2 linked regions of the Astyanax mexicanus genome follow. The protein of the gene in region 1 interacts with the protein of each later gene in a pairwise test. Links are inferred from orthologs where the notes say so. Each region holds a gene or a part of one and is shown on either strand. Other genes may lie near its edges.

The links.
Region 2: the proteins of lsm1 (region 1) and clic1 interact in binary tests that used the Homo sapiens proteins (3 or more experiments, as listed by UniProt). The link is inferred for Astyanax mexicanus from reciprocal best matches to the Homo sapiens genes LSM1 and CLIC1.

The regions. Positions count from the first base shown.
Region 1 is NC_064419.1:32,067,280-32,075,099, forward strand, and holds lsm1 (U6 snRNA-associated Sm-like protein LSm1), read right to left. Parts: upstream 3,003-7,820; 5' UTR 2,886-3,002; coding exon 2,840-2,885; intron 2,219-2,839; coding exon 2,150-2,218; intron 1,665-2,149; coding exon 1,549-1,664; intron 938-1,548; coding exon 767-937; 3' UTR 384-766; downstream 1-383. Other genes in the region: bag4 (BAG family molecular chaperone regulator 4), read left to right, coding at 4,216-4,350, 5,765-5,890, 6,164-6,358, 6,528-6,794. UniProt on the Homo sapiens protein: Plays a role in the degradation of histone mRNAs, the only eukaryotic mRNAs that are not polyadenylated. Probably also part of an LSm subunits-containing complex involved in the general process of mRNA degradation.
Region 2 is NC_064409.1:76,647,655-76,654,487, forward strand, and holds the start of clic1 (chloride intracellular channel protein 1), read right to left. Parts: upstream 3,020-6,833; 5' UTR 2,894-3,019; coding exon 2,852-2,893; intron 1-2,851. UniProt on the Homo sapiens protein: In the soluble state, catalyzes glutaredoxin-like thiol disulfide exchange reactions with reduced glutathione as electron donor. Reduces selenite and dehydroascorbate and may act as an antioxidant during oxidative stress response.

The sequences.
Region 1 (7,820 bases):
ACTAGTTTGATACGATTTCATTCACCACCACTGTGAACAAGATTAAGTTTGGTACATTTCTCTAAAACATAACTTGTTTTCAGTATTTGGCGACACCATAAGGCAAATGAGGGAATTACACAGACACTGCAAGCTAGCAAGTAACGCTGGAGAAGTACTTGAAAAGTCACAACATAAGTGTGGAATTGAATGCTTCTCTTAAAATATTCTCAACCCAACATCATACAATTATAGAAAAGGTTAGTTTTATATATTTTGTTTTCATGTAAACTGGCTCCCCTTAAGGTAAGTAAAGAACTGGAAAGGTGGTTAATAAAATGCAATCAGGCAAGAACAGACTGCATTTCACAAATCATTTGTCGCACAAAGGAAACCACTCAATATTATTCAGTACAAAATAGGTTTAATAGAACAAAAATATCTTCAGTGCTGTTTAGCGTGATTTAACATAGCATACCAACATAAACGCCACCATAACATCACCTCAACGACACAAACACTGAGTTTAAGGTTCCATTATTCTTCTCTACAAAGTTCAAAATAAAAGCCAGCAGGCCAAGTGCTTCCGTTTGGTCCATCTTCAGTTTCAATACGGCACCATCGGCCGTAAAGGAAAAGATGGTAATGGTCACGCAGAGCATGACTTACATAAAAACAAAAACGGTCATGATCACAGTCTTCTGTGATGCATTCATTGAAGGTCACGTGTGTAATACTCACTAAAACTGAAAACAAAACAAGCAAAAAAAATTAACCTAAAGGCGTCTCAGAAATCATCCAATGTGTCTGCTTTAGGGATGGACAAGCCTCGCTCCTTTACTGCCTGTAGTTTCCGCTTCTCAGACTCCTGCTTTGCCTGCTGCTCCACCCGCTGCTCCTCCAGAATTTCCTCAATGGAAACTCTCTGAAGGATCTGATCACATTCTTTATCTAGGTCCTACAGAGCAGACAATAAACAAATCCAAACAGGAGAGTGTAGGTTAAATTCCAATAAAACATGCTTCTTAAATTCCCCTCATTCATAACACATCTCAGCTCTCCTCCTTACCCGTCCAATAAAATAGTATTATTCTACATCATGTTTATTGCACCCAGATCATAGTTGTGGGGAAAAAAAAAAAAAAAAAAGTGCGCACAATGCAGCCACACTGATTTGGTCAGTCCACCGTATTAAAAGGTTAAAGGTAAGCTCAACCCCTGGTACCAAAATAATTCCCAAATTTCCCACAGCAGGGTGTTAATATTTAACATTAACAAGTTTCTCTTATTTACCTTTTACATTTTAAATTTCCATTGAGTCCATGACTAGAATTAATCCTTGGCCAGGTATTTGGCCCTTAATGCAGGTACTGTGTTACACACCAAGGTACTATTCACACTATAGCCCTTCATTAGGTTGACTGATATTTCCCCAGCATTCTCTAAAGCCTGTCAATCCTAGCAACAACAAACAAGGCTTATGTTTAATACCATGACTCATTTTGCTTAATCTTATTTTAATGGAAACATTTCCAGAAAGAAAAATAAACAAAAACTGTGTAAACTTACTACTTCTCCAAGTAAGACAACATTTTCTCCTCTGACAACAAAGATCCCTCGGGGTATGTCTCCAAACTTCTTACCAACGTGGATACGTTCCACTGTTTGATGCAAAACTAAATTTGCTGTTAAAGAGAACAGAGATCAAATATTAACAACCTGTTAATGAATAACATACAACTGACAAGGATGGGCAGAACAATACTGATGCAAATAAACTTCAAATACTGACCGTGCTGCTAATGCAGTGAGATCATTTGTTATTCGGTAGTTAGCACCATGGCTTTATATTCTATGCACCCTCAAGCAGTTTTAAAATAGATGTACCATATAATATAGATCAGTGCATCCATGCTAAAGGCAGGTTACCACTTCATTGTGAAAGGGCATCGAATAAAAGTGAAGCATGGAACAACTTAAACGATGTCCAACTACTGCCAAGCACACCTAACGCCTCTTAATCCAACTCTGAGGAACTTTAGTAAGCTCATTTTAATGGGTGTCAGTTCAGTGGGAAACACTGGTGTACATATAAATATATTATACTGATCATACTGAGTGGTTCACTTGGATCTGTTATTTTACTTCACTGAACACTGGATCTACTTACCAAACTGATCTATACTTCTGAGGATCCCAATCAGTGTTCTCCCATCTCTGAGCAGAACAAGGTGCTTTTCTGGAAGAAAAACAAAAACAGATCAGACAGACAGAAAGCTTATTTGCTTAAAAGACATTTATACAGTTTCATGCAACAACAAAACTGGCAAAATAAGTCACACAAAACAGCCTTCCTTGGATTTGTTATGTCATCCTAAGAATTCATAAAGAGCTAGTTCAATGTTCGCCAGCTCCAGCTGTGTTATATTTAACTTTTAGCATTTTAGCAAGTCTATAAAGGTTTAATTTGCAAGTACTTAAGTGGTTGTAGTTGTTAGCGATCTAGCTAGCTATCTAATGGCCCAAACCCTGAAGACCACCTCCAGGTTCATCTTGGGAGGAATGAGGTGTAGAGAAAAAAAATACAATATGTATAAATTGTACACAGTTCGTGGTCAGAAACGCAAGATTAAACACACTTAGATTATCTTTAGCAGTAAGAAAGTTTAAGATAGCTAATTGCTTTAAATTTCCACTCCACCTTAAATAGGGCAGCAGGTACATTACTGTGCTAGCTGGACTCAGAATATAATCACTGCACCATTTAAGGTGGACCGAACAATTCCAATTACAACGCAGCTATTTGGAGTTCCAGCGGCTTTAGGCTGGGTAGTAAAGCCCAGCGGAGCTTTTAACTTACTGTCGATGTCCTCAATGAGGCTGGCGGTGCCTGGCATGTAATTCATCCTGCAGACATGCGGGGAGTTTAAAGCACAAAAAACCTAGAGACAGTGTGATATCAAACCTCCTGGCACCCAAACTAACTACAGCAGCAGCGCTCTTATAGCACAGCTTCCGGGGCACGCTCACCCCTTTAAAGGGCCCACTCGCATTTTATAAAACAAATCTTTTTACAAAAGATATGTTTTATATTCGTTTTTGAGATTTTTTTTGCAGTTTTATTTATATGTAATGTTAATTTAAACGCACCATGCATTTTTTTTTATCATTTATCTATAAGCTTAATAATTATTTTAATTATTATGCTTTTATTTTGTAGTGCTTTCTTCCCACGTATTTATTTATTAGAGATTTTATCTGTTATTTCCTTTGTAACTGTTATTTATTTATTTATTTATGTTCATTTACTATGTTTGTGATCTATTTCTGTTTAATCCTTTAGCTGTATTTTACATTTTGCTTCACTCCAACTGATTTGGAAGCTACCGTCTCAAGAACAAGGTTGTCAAAATACAGTAACTTTAACAATTAAATGTTGAATCAGAGCTTATGACAGAAATTATAGTTACAGATAAAAAATAAACAAACTAATTTTGATTTTACAAAATCATAATCATACATAAAATAAGATATCGTTTACTTTATAATATAGAACTCTCTAAAAAAAAAGAGTATCAATATATTTTGTATTTCAAATTTATAAATACATTTTGTACCCCTGACAAGGCACAGAAACATCTTAACATCTAAACATATCTCGAAATATCACGGAATAACAAATATATAATTTTAAGTATGTCATTTATCCTTGGGATTTGTATTATTTATGCAGAAAATATATTTTACAATATTTTATCCAATTAATTTTTTCAAAAGCAAAGAGTTATATTATATTTTTAATGCTTCGATTCGATTGATTAAAATACATATAAAGCAACGTACATTGTAACCCAGCTTGTGATTGGCTAGCTCGTTTTTGTGCACATTGTGATTGGCTAGATATTCCTGTCCCTATTTGTGATTGGCTGCTTGCTTTTTTCTGTGACAGTCAGCAGCACTTTGCTGTTATGCGTGAATATGTTTAATTAATTGAACTGTAGAGCTAAAGAAGGATATCAGTAACGCGCTTTTACAATAATTTTTGCCATAAAAAATATATATATGAATACGTTATAAGATTTAAATAAATATTTAATTGCTCAGGTCAGGCTACAGCACCGCGCAGATTCAGTCACACTGCAGCTACACCCGACACGATGGCGAGAATGATGGGTTAATGAATTAGTAATAATAAAAATAATCATATTAATACCAATAACGTGCTGTTAGCAGTGGATGGCCTACGACTCAGCCGGAGCGGAGAGAAGCGGGGAGGCGGCGTGGCTACTGCAACAGCAGCGGCACATGCAGCAGCCGAAAGCGGGCTGGAGCCCCGGGTACAACCCGGAGAGCAGCTGGAGCGGAGCGATGGTAAGAACCGGGGCTAGGCTAGGCTAAGCTAAGCTAAGCTAAACTACGCTAAGCTAAGCTGTGTTTGACACCAGTGTATCATTCATACAGAAGCAGCTTAACGTTTTATTTACATTTAATACAAATGCATCTTAATAATACACGGTTTTAATTCACTTTGTGTAAAAGTTTACGCAGCTGACTTTGAGCAAACTGTGCCGTCCTATTCAATTAGCTTTAGCATAGCATCTCTTACCAGCTATTGCCAGCACTTCAGTTACTAACCTTCACTTAAACTGTAGTAGCGTTGACATGTTAACCTAGTGTGTTTTCTATGTAGTTAGCTAGCTCACATAAATATACAACCCTGATTTACTTTGCAGAGAGATGTTCGTTTTATTGCCTAAGTTTGTAGTTTAGTTGAATAAGTTATCAGACCGGCCATTGCTGGCTTTGGTCAGCAAGTTGGTTATCTAGAGAAACAGGACTTATTGCGTAAAATTAGGTGGCCTTTATACAAGCAGTTAGCTATAGCTAGGTTTGCTAGTGTGTTTGGGTTGTTAATAAAAGTTGGATATCCTAAATTATCCCATTTTCTGCATAGCAGCGATATAATACTGTCAGAATTTACCAAATGTATCCCTACACTACTGGTAAAGTTGTAACCTAAGTGCACCTTATCTTCAGTGTTGGAGAACCAAAGCTTCCTGAGTGCTTCTGTTCTGTACTGAAATAATGCCTTTCAGATCTGATACCTATTTTTATTTCTATACAGTTAGCATAAAGAAACCTTTACTATGTCGGCTTCGTTGTTTTTTAATTGATTAAAACAGTCACACTTAAAATAAATTTCAATTCTTTACAGCAAATGTTGTCATAGAGCAGCTCTGCAGAGATCTGGGTCCAAAAGTGACTGCAGAATGAGTGGTCAAATAGTACTTTATTATTTCAATTTGTGCTTATTGTAAAAACAGGTCATGTATTATAAAAATCTGAGTAACTGCAGAACACATGCTAAATATTAGTACTGATGAAAGTGGTGTCCATAAGTCCTTAAAGGCTGAACAGTCCCATGCTGTCATGCAGAATCATCCTGCTGTGAAAGAATAATAGCCAGGGTTTAAAAGCAAAAAACAGGGAAAAGAGATAGCAGGAACAAAAATAACATCATAACAAACAAAGGAAAATTCGCAGAATATGGGAAATTGCCATGCAAGTAGTGGCATCAGCCTTAATGATGTACCAACATTGAGGAGAAAACAAGAGGCAGCTTATAATATGGGCTAGAGAAGGATAAACATATGTACAGTTAATGTAAAAGTAATGTTACAAAATAATTTGTATTATTTCTTCAATTCAGCCATATGGTGAACCACTAATATAGTGGTGACAACTACTATAGGACTAACATCATGTAATTTCTGCTTTACGGCAGGACTCTAATCCATATTGTGGCTATCCACCAAACTACTGGTACCCTCATTCGCATACTGCTGGACCGTATAGTAACACATACCCCTCTGGAGCAGAGGTCAATGGACAAGCACCGTACAATCCCCAGGTACAGTACCACATCTTCCTTCTTGTCTTAACACAGTGCTTAAAGTTTTTTTGCAGATTCACACTGGATAAAAAAAAATACACTGACTAATGCACTGATTAATACTGACATAAAATCATGCTACAATTATTGCCTTCATACTGTTAAAATTACACAGACTGCAGATTCATAGTAGATTAATTGTATTAGAGTAATACTAATTATATTAGAGTATTAAAGGTGTTTGGTATATATACTTTTTATGAAAATCAAACTGCTGTGCCTTTATTTCAGGCAATGTCAGGCTATCCCAATGGGGTGTACAATCCAGGACAGTACTCAGCCAATATGATGCACCCATCCAATCCGTTCTACTGCAGTGAGCAGATTCCTCCACGGCAACCACCTCAGTATCATAATCAGGGCTGCGCTGATCGGCCCGCGGGGAATTCTACTCAGCCTCCCTATGCTGTACCGCATTGCCAAGGGGTAGGTGATGATCCACTATTTAACCTTTTATGTTTGCTCATGTTTTTAGTGGTATCATTCGTTATATCGTATAGTAAAGGTCACAGCTTTTGATATGACTGGCCAGCTAAACACATACGTTTTTAAGGTTTAATAGTACAGCCTCTGTTCTTGTTCACTGTTCTTGCAGGGTCCTGGATATCCCCCTAATTCGTACCCACACTATGGAGATGGATGCCCCTCCAACCCTGGGTATCCCACCCAGCAGGCCATGCACTCAAGGCCCCAGCCTGAAGCCTGGCCCCATTCAGGCGGATATGGGCCAACACAGCCTCAACAGCAGTGGCAGCCTGGCACCCAGCCAGCTCACGGGCCATACGCTAACCATGCTAACCACGTCCGACCTCCACATCCTCCACCCTGGCAGGGGCCTGCGCCACCTCCATATGAACATAAGGTATCCAAGCTGTCTGTACATTAACTCGTCATTTTATAGCATTGATGGTCAGCAAAGAGTGGGTTTAGGTTCAGTTCTGGTCTGTGTGTCAAACTGACTAAAATCAGGCTCACAAATGTGAATTTTCTGAACCACAGAATGGAACTGTAGTATTGGAATGTATGTTTACTTGTGTGTTTGTGTCTCTGGTGCTTTTTTGTGAGCAACCATGATTTTTATGTTTAGCTTCTATTCTTGTTGCTTTACAGTAGTATCTTTAGGCTAGTTTGTTTCAAAGCTGTTTTGTTGTTTTGTATAGTAGGTGGTTGCTAAGGTGATGCTCAGTAGTTGTTTCGAAGGGTGGAGTTATGGCATCACAGATTGCTTCCAAGGGTGTTGCTACCATTTTTTTTACTGCTGTATGAAATAAGATGAACAAAGATTTTAATCTTGTTGCATGCACTGTGTTGTTTACCTTAGTTTTTTACAGATGTTATATGTTTTATTGATATGTTGTTTTATTTAATCAGGGAAAGGATAAAACACAAATGATTTGTCACCTCTATTTCTATTTTTCTGTTTTTGGTCAGACTGAGGGTTTCTAGAAATGATAAAGTGATGAATGTTGTGTTTCGAAATATCATCTTCATTAAAAGGAGGAAGAGTATAACTTTGCTAAACAGGGTTAAATAACTATTGAACATGTTACTGCTTCGGTTACCAAATATAGGTGCAAGCAGTGGTCACTTAAAACTGTTTTAAGTCAGAAAAATATAGTCAATTCATAAATAAAGGTACAATCATCACTTCAATACGTGTATCACCACAGTTAGGCCTAATTGCATGCTTTCCTCAAGACCATAAACTCCAACACACATGTTCTACACATCTAAACGTGTGGGCTAGCCAAAGATATCTTAGGTCAGATGAGGTGCTGTACTCAAGCAGAGAGTTCAGTACACAGTCTTTCAAGCCTTTCAAGTCCTTCTGTTTCTCTCTCACACACACACACGCGCACACACACAGGAATAGCTTAAAGGAACTCCA
Region 2 (6,833 bases), on another chromosome or scaffold:
CACCTAGCAAACACTCGGCCACATCTTATAGCGACCACACAACAACCACCTGGGTTACCACAGCAACCAGTGTAAATAACTTTAGCTGCACAACCATTCTGCATTTCCTAAAGAAAATGTCATTTTCTAGTTATCCTTGTTATTTTATTATTACGGTAACTTTAATATTTTAGTAGTTTCTGTTTATTGTGTTGTTTACTGTTATAGTAATGAATATTATGGTCTGTTCTAGTTGACCTGCTCTGAGTGCTTTTCGTCCTGTTTGTGCTGTTCAACTACCTAGCAACCACTTAGCAACGCCACAGCAGTCAACACATTACCATAGCAATCATACCACCTTAGCAACACCATAGCAACCATCTAGCAACAACATATCGATCGCATAGTAACACCTCTGTAATCACATAGCAACACCTTAGTAGCCACCAAGTAACAAATTAGTAGCCACTTATCAAACACTTTGCAACACCTTATAGCAACCCCACATCATCCACCTGAGTTACCACAGCAACCAGTGCAAATTACTTTAGCTGCAAAACCATTCTGCATTTCCTAGAGAAAAAGGTCTTTTTTAGGTATCCTTGTTGTTTTATTATTATGGTAACTTTAATATTAGTGGTTTCTGATTTTTTCTAATATACTGGTGAATATTATGGTTTGTTCTAGCTGATCTGCTCTGAGTGCTTTTCTTCTTTTCTGGGCTGTTCAACTACCTAGCAACACCATAGCAATCATCTAGCAACAACATATTGGCTGCTTAGTAACACCTTTGCAACCACTAAGTAACAAATTAGTTACCACTTAGCAACCTCCTAGCAAACACTCTGCAAAACCTTAGCAACCAGCAAATAACTACTTAGCAAACCTACAGCAACCACCTGGGTTACCACAGCAATGGGTGCAAATCACTTCAGCTGCACAACCATTCTGTATTTCCTAGAGAAATGCACTTTTCTGGTTATTCTTGTTGTTTTATTATTATGGAAACTTTAATATTGGTGGTTTCTTTTTATTTCGTTTTTTACTGTTATAGTAATAAATATTATGGTCTGTTCTAACTGACCATGCTCTAAGTGCTCCTTTTCCTGTTTGTGCTGTTCAACTACCTAGCAACCACTTAGCAATGCCACAGCAGCCAGCACATTACCATAGCAACCATCTAGCAAGAACTTATGGACCGCATAGTAGCACTTTTGCAAGCACATAGCAACACCTGATCAGCCACCAAGTAACAAATTATTAGCCACTTGAAAAAAAAACAACTCGCAACCCCACAGCAACCACCTGGGTTACCACAGCAACCAGTGTGAATCAGTTCAGCTGCACAACCATTCTGTGTCTCCTAGAGAACATGTACTTTTCTGGTTATCCTTGTTGTTTTATTATTATGGAAACTTTAATATTGGTGGTTTCTGATTTTTTTTTTTTTTAACTATTATACTAGTGAATATTATGGTCTGTTCTAGCTGACCTGCTCTGATTGCTGCTCTTCTTTTCTGGGCTGTTGGACTACCTAGCAACACCATAGCAACCATCTAGCAACAACATATTGGCCGCATAGTAACACCTTTGCAACCACACAGAAACACCTGATCAGCCAACAAGTAACAAATTAGTAGCCATTTAGAAAACACCTCACAACCCCACAGCAGCCACCTGGGTTACTACAGCAACCAGTGCGAATCACTTTAGCTGCACAACCATACTGTGTCTCCTAGGGAACATGTACTTTTTTGGTTATCCTTGTTGTTTTATTATTATGGTAACTTTAATATTGGTGGTTTCTGTTTTTTTTAACTATTATACTAGTGAATATTATGGTCTGTTCTAGCTGACCTGCTCTGAGTGCTCTCCTTTTTTTCGGGCTGTTCAACTACCTAGCAACACCATAGCAACCATCTAGCAACAACTTTTGAACAGCATAGGAACACCTTTGCAACCACATAGAAAAACCTTACTATCCACTAAGTAACACATTAGTAACCACTTACCAACCACCAAGCAAACATTCCACAACACCTTAGCAACCACCAAGTAAATAATTAGCAACCCCACAGCAATCAGAACCAGTCCGAATCAGTTTAGCTGCACAACCATTCTGCATTTCTAGAGAAAATGTACTTTTCTGATTATTCCTTTTATTCTATTATTATGGAAACTTTAAAATTTGAGGGGTTTTTTTTTGTTTTACACTATTATACTAGTGAATATTATGGTCTGTTCTAGCTGACCTGCTCTGAGTGCTGCTCTTCTTTTCTGGGCTGTTGGACACTGGAGCACTAAAGCTGCTTTCTGGCCTTCAGAACTGTGCCAGTACACAATGCCTGCTTTCATACGGGCGCACACACACACACACACACACACACACACACACACACACACACACACACACACACACACACACACACACATACACACACACACACACACACTCCAGCCTGTGTTTGAGGGTGAACTGCAGCTCGCAGCGTTTCCTCTCGAGCGCCAACGCCTCAAAACCCAGCCCAGCTCCACCACCACCTCCTTCCATCCAGACCAGTACTGACCCAGCAGAACCACCACCACACCAGAACCCAGTACAGATCAGCTGGTGCTGAGGATCTGACCAGTCTGCACAGGTGAGCAGGCTGTGGGAGCTGCACCTGGCTCTGCTTATCCTCATCCTTATCTCTGATAGTTTATTCTACAGAGCTTTCTCCACCTTCCACACCTCTAATCAGACCATTAACTGATATACCTGCCAGTCTGAGCCATGATTAAACCAAATTATCCTCACTTCTGGCTCTGAAACCAGTTTAAAACCAATTTAAACACAGTTTAGATAGAGAAACCTAAAGAAACTCAAACTCACCTTGACGAAAAGCTCCACTTCCGGCTGACCCTCGTCGCTCATGATGCTCTAAAGTCTCCAAAACCCTCAAATAACCCGGAATATTAATAGTAATTAATTTAATAAGTTCTGCTGCGCTTAAAACCAGCACGCGCCGCTCCTCCGAGTCGACTTAACTTCCGTTCCTACACTTTTCTTAACACACCTGTATTCAGACAGGCCACGCCGCCCTGCGCTCTGATTCGCTCGTGGGTTTACTTCTGCGTTCCAGAACGAGAAGCTGATTGGCTGGGCTGATTGTACATCAAGAGCATCCCGCCGTTCAAGAACGAGAAAGTCCCACCCCCTCTGGTTTCTGATTGGAGACATTGCGAAAGAAGGGTGGATTCTTAGCCAATCACAGTGCAGCAGTTAAGGTTACATCAGCCAATCCCATTGCAGGAACTGTTGGTAAAACTCGCTATAAATAAAAAAATAAATTAAATCTTATATATATAAAAAAAACCTAAGGTAACAAAAGTCATGTTGTTGACTATAGACATTTATTTAGTTTTATTTATAGTATATATTAAAGGAGGATGATATTGGCATAAAATAATATCACGCTATTTCAGGGTATTTTTTTAAGCTAAAGCTACAATAAAAATATTGTGATAATTTCATATGTTACTGCAGTTTTATTTTGTGATAGATTTTTTATTAGGTTTTATTTTGTTATAAAATGTAAAAAAAAAAACAATAGAAATCTGTAAACTGACTAAGACAAATCAAGAAAAAAAATAAACATTTTATCATATAAATGTAGCATGAAATATAAGGTACTATGAAAAAAAAACCCTGAAAGTCCCACCCTCTCTGCAACATGATTGGATACATTGTGAAAGAAGGGTGGTTTCTTAGCCAATCCCAGCACAGCAGGCAAGGCTACAGCAGCTAATCCAATTGCATGATGTGGGATCGTAATTAATAAACATGATAAAGTTTGTAAAACTCGCTATTTAAAAAATATATATTTTTTACATAATTCAAATTTTAAAATGTACATAGTCCTAATATTAAAAAGCCATTAAAATATATGGTATATATAAAAAAAAACGTTTTATTGTTAAGTCACCTGGAATTCAGGCTTTCAGTTAACAGCTGTGCCGAACTCATCAGGAGTTAATTACTTGAATTTCTTGTCTCTTAATAAAGTGTTTGAGAGCATCAGTTAAAGTAAAGTAGTGAAGAGGTAGAGTTACAGGTATACAGTGAATTGTGAATATTTGAGTAATGCTCTAATCCAGATTATGAGAGGCAACAACTACTCAACTAAATAAATAAAATATGACTTTAAGAAATGAAGGTTAGTCAATCCGAAAAAATTCCAGAACTCTAAAAGTCCATTATAAACATTATCACTTCACTGTGGCGCCCTCTGGTGTTGTTCATTTGTGCTTTTGGTGCAATAGAAGGGATAATAGTTGGCCAGGCTCCTTGCTAAATTGATAAATTGTACAGATTTTGGTGTACAGTTGATTATTTAAGTCCAAATAGACCTTAAATAAGCTTTTTTTTAGATGCAGACAATCAGTAAAAAGGAAGGTTGTGGAGTATAACACAGTAGTGAATGTAAAAGCTTTGTGTAAGACTTTTAGCATAGCCTAACACAAACTAGCCTAACACTGTTACACATGTTTTTAGTGATGTCAAAGTGAAGCGTACAGCATCCAATCTGTTCTTTCTTTACTATATATTTTTTTCCAGCTAAAAATACAAGCTGTACAGGGCTAGGATAATAACATTAGCTTAGGTAATGCTTAGCTGCCTTCATCTAGGAACATTTCCTTCACATGTGATTTAAGTGGCACTACTGAGGCACATTTGTGACTAAACATGCACTTCTGGAGTAAATTAATGATTAGAAAAGCACTACTGAGGTTAACAATAGGGTAGGAAACTGAGGGAACTTTGGGCTGGAGTTCAGGCTACAGCTTGAGCTTGTCATAGGAAGACGGTACCCCCCAGACCGATTTAAACCCTGACAACAGTCAACTGTCCATACATTGTGCGTGAGGTGTGTGTTTAATAAATATTTTTAAATTGTAATTTCTTTAAAGAACAGCTGAAAATATTTAATATTAAATATTTGTCTTTTAGACAAGTGTTTTATGTTGTTTGGTTTTGATTTTAGCCAAATATATTCGTTCTGGTGCATCCCTTATATTTCTAAATCATACTGGATTGTGTTGCCATGCTCTCGTTGTCCAATCAGTACAGTATTTGTTTATCATAACTTACGAGATTATAGCCAATTGGCTTGATTAGGTTTAGTCCTAGCATATGTTAGCCTGCAGTCTGCATGCAATCAATCCTTCTCCCTTCTCTTATCAACCTAGCATTAGCTTTTAGCCTCTTAGCCAGGTTGTGCTGTATATACAGTATGTACAGTATTACCACAGGTTTTATCAGAGCGGTCAGACCTTGACTAGTCCTCAGTCCTTGCAGATAAGGCTGGTCAGATGTTTGTAAAGTAAAAGAAAAAAGCAACATATCTTACTCTTATCTTATCGTAGCTATGCAAGACTTTTCTTTAAAGTGTTTAGTATCTTTTACGCAATAACGTACTGTATTTCTCTAATGCACTGCAAGGTTAAAAAGTTGGTGTTGAATAATTTAATACATACACCCCCCCAAAACATTTGTGTTAGTCACACAGTCATGTGACCACCCAGAGTGACATATGGTAGCCATGGTGTCGTGGTGTTGTCTAAAGGTGATGTCATCTGGAGTCTTTGTCTGTATTATGAACACGACAATAGACAATACAATTTTAAACAGTGCTTTAGTAATGCCAATGGTACTACACACCATCTGGATACTTAAATAATGGTTCTTCAGAGTGTTAAAAAAACATTAGTAGTTTGTTCAGCTGGATGGTTTGGAATTATATAGATAGATAGATAGATAGATAGATAGATAGATAGATAGATAGATAGATAGATAGATAGATAGATAGATAGATAGATAGATAGATACCACCAGTTTGTAGTCTTGCCCACCAGGCTACCTTCCATTGGGTATTCCATTATATTTTATATAATGGTTGTTTGTCTAGCCAATGTGTTGTAGGCTGTAAATGACTAAAGATGCAAAGTCCAATTCAAATATTCAGTATTTGCATAGCGGGTATTGTCGCGGATTACTTGGAATGACCTTTAACTCCTACTTTTACATTTACGTCATTCAGCAGAGGCTTTTATCCTGAAAGACTTACAGAGGTGCTTCACTGTTCAATCAGTAAATACAGATCCCAAGTTATGAGAGCATTAAGAGTCAGTTTTGGCTGCTAGGTGATGCTGCTTTGATTAACTGCAGGTGGAAAAGGGGTGGAGTCTAACTTCACATATAACTCTGGAAAAAAATTAAGAGCGCATTTCAGTTTCTGAATCAGTTTCTCTGATTTTATATTTATAAGTAAATGAACATTGTTGCTTTATTCTATAAACTACAGATAACATTTCTCCCAAATTCCAAATATAAATATTGTCATTTAGAGCATTTATTTGCAGAAAATGAGAAATGTTTGAAATAAAAAAAATGATACAGAACTTCAGAGTTCATATTCATAAAGTTTTAAGAGTTCAGAATTCAATATTTGGTGGAATAACCCTGGTTTTTAATCACAGTTTTCATGCATCTTGGCATCATGTTCTCCTCCACCAGTCTTACACACTGCTTTTGGATAGCTTTATGCCTTTACTCCTGGTGCAAAAATTCAAGCAGTTCAGCTTGGTTTTTGCGCCTTATAGTGCAAAAAATATGGTAAGTGGCCTTCCAATTTGGGGGGAAATGGGTTACAATCAGCATTATAATAATCTAAAAAAAGAATGCATATTCCTATATGGGACTAATTCCATACTATGGAAGCCCTGACATGTAAAATTAACAACAACAAAAAATCCTGCACATTTTTTTTCTTATCATTAAGTAAACTGTTATATCATTATTTTAAAATACTTTA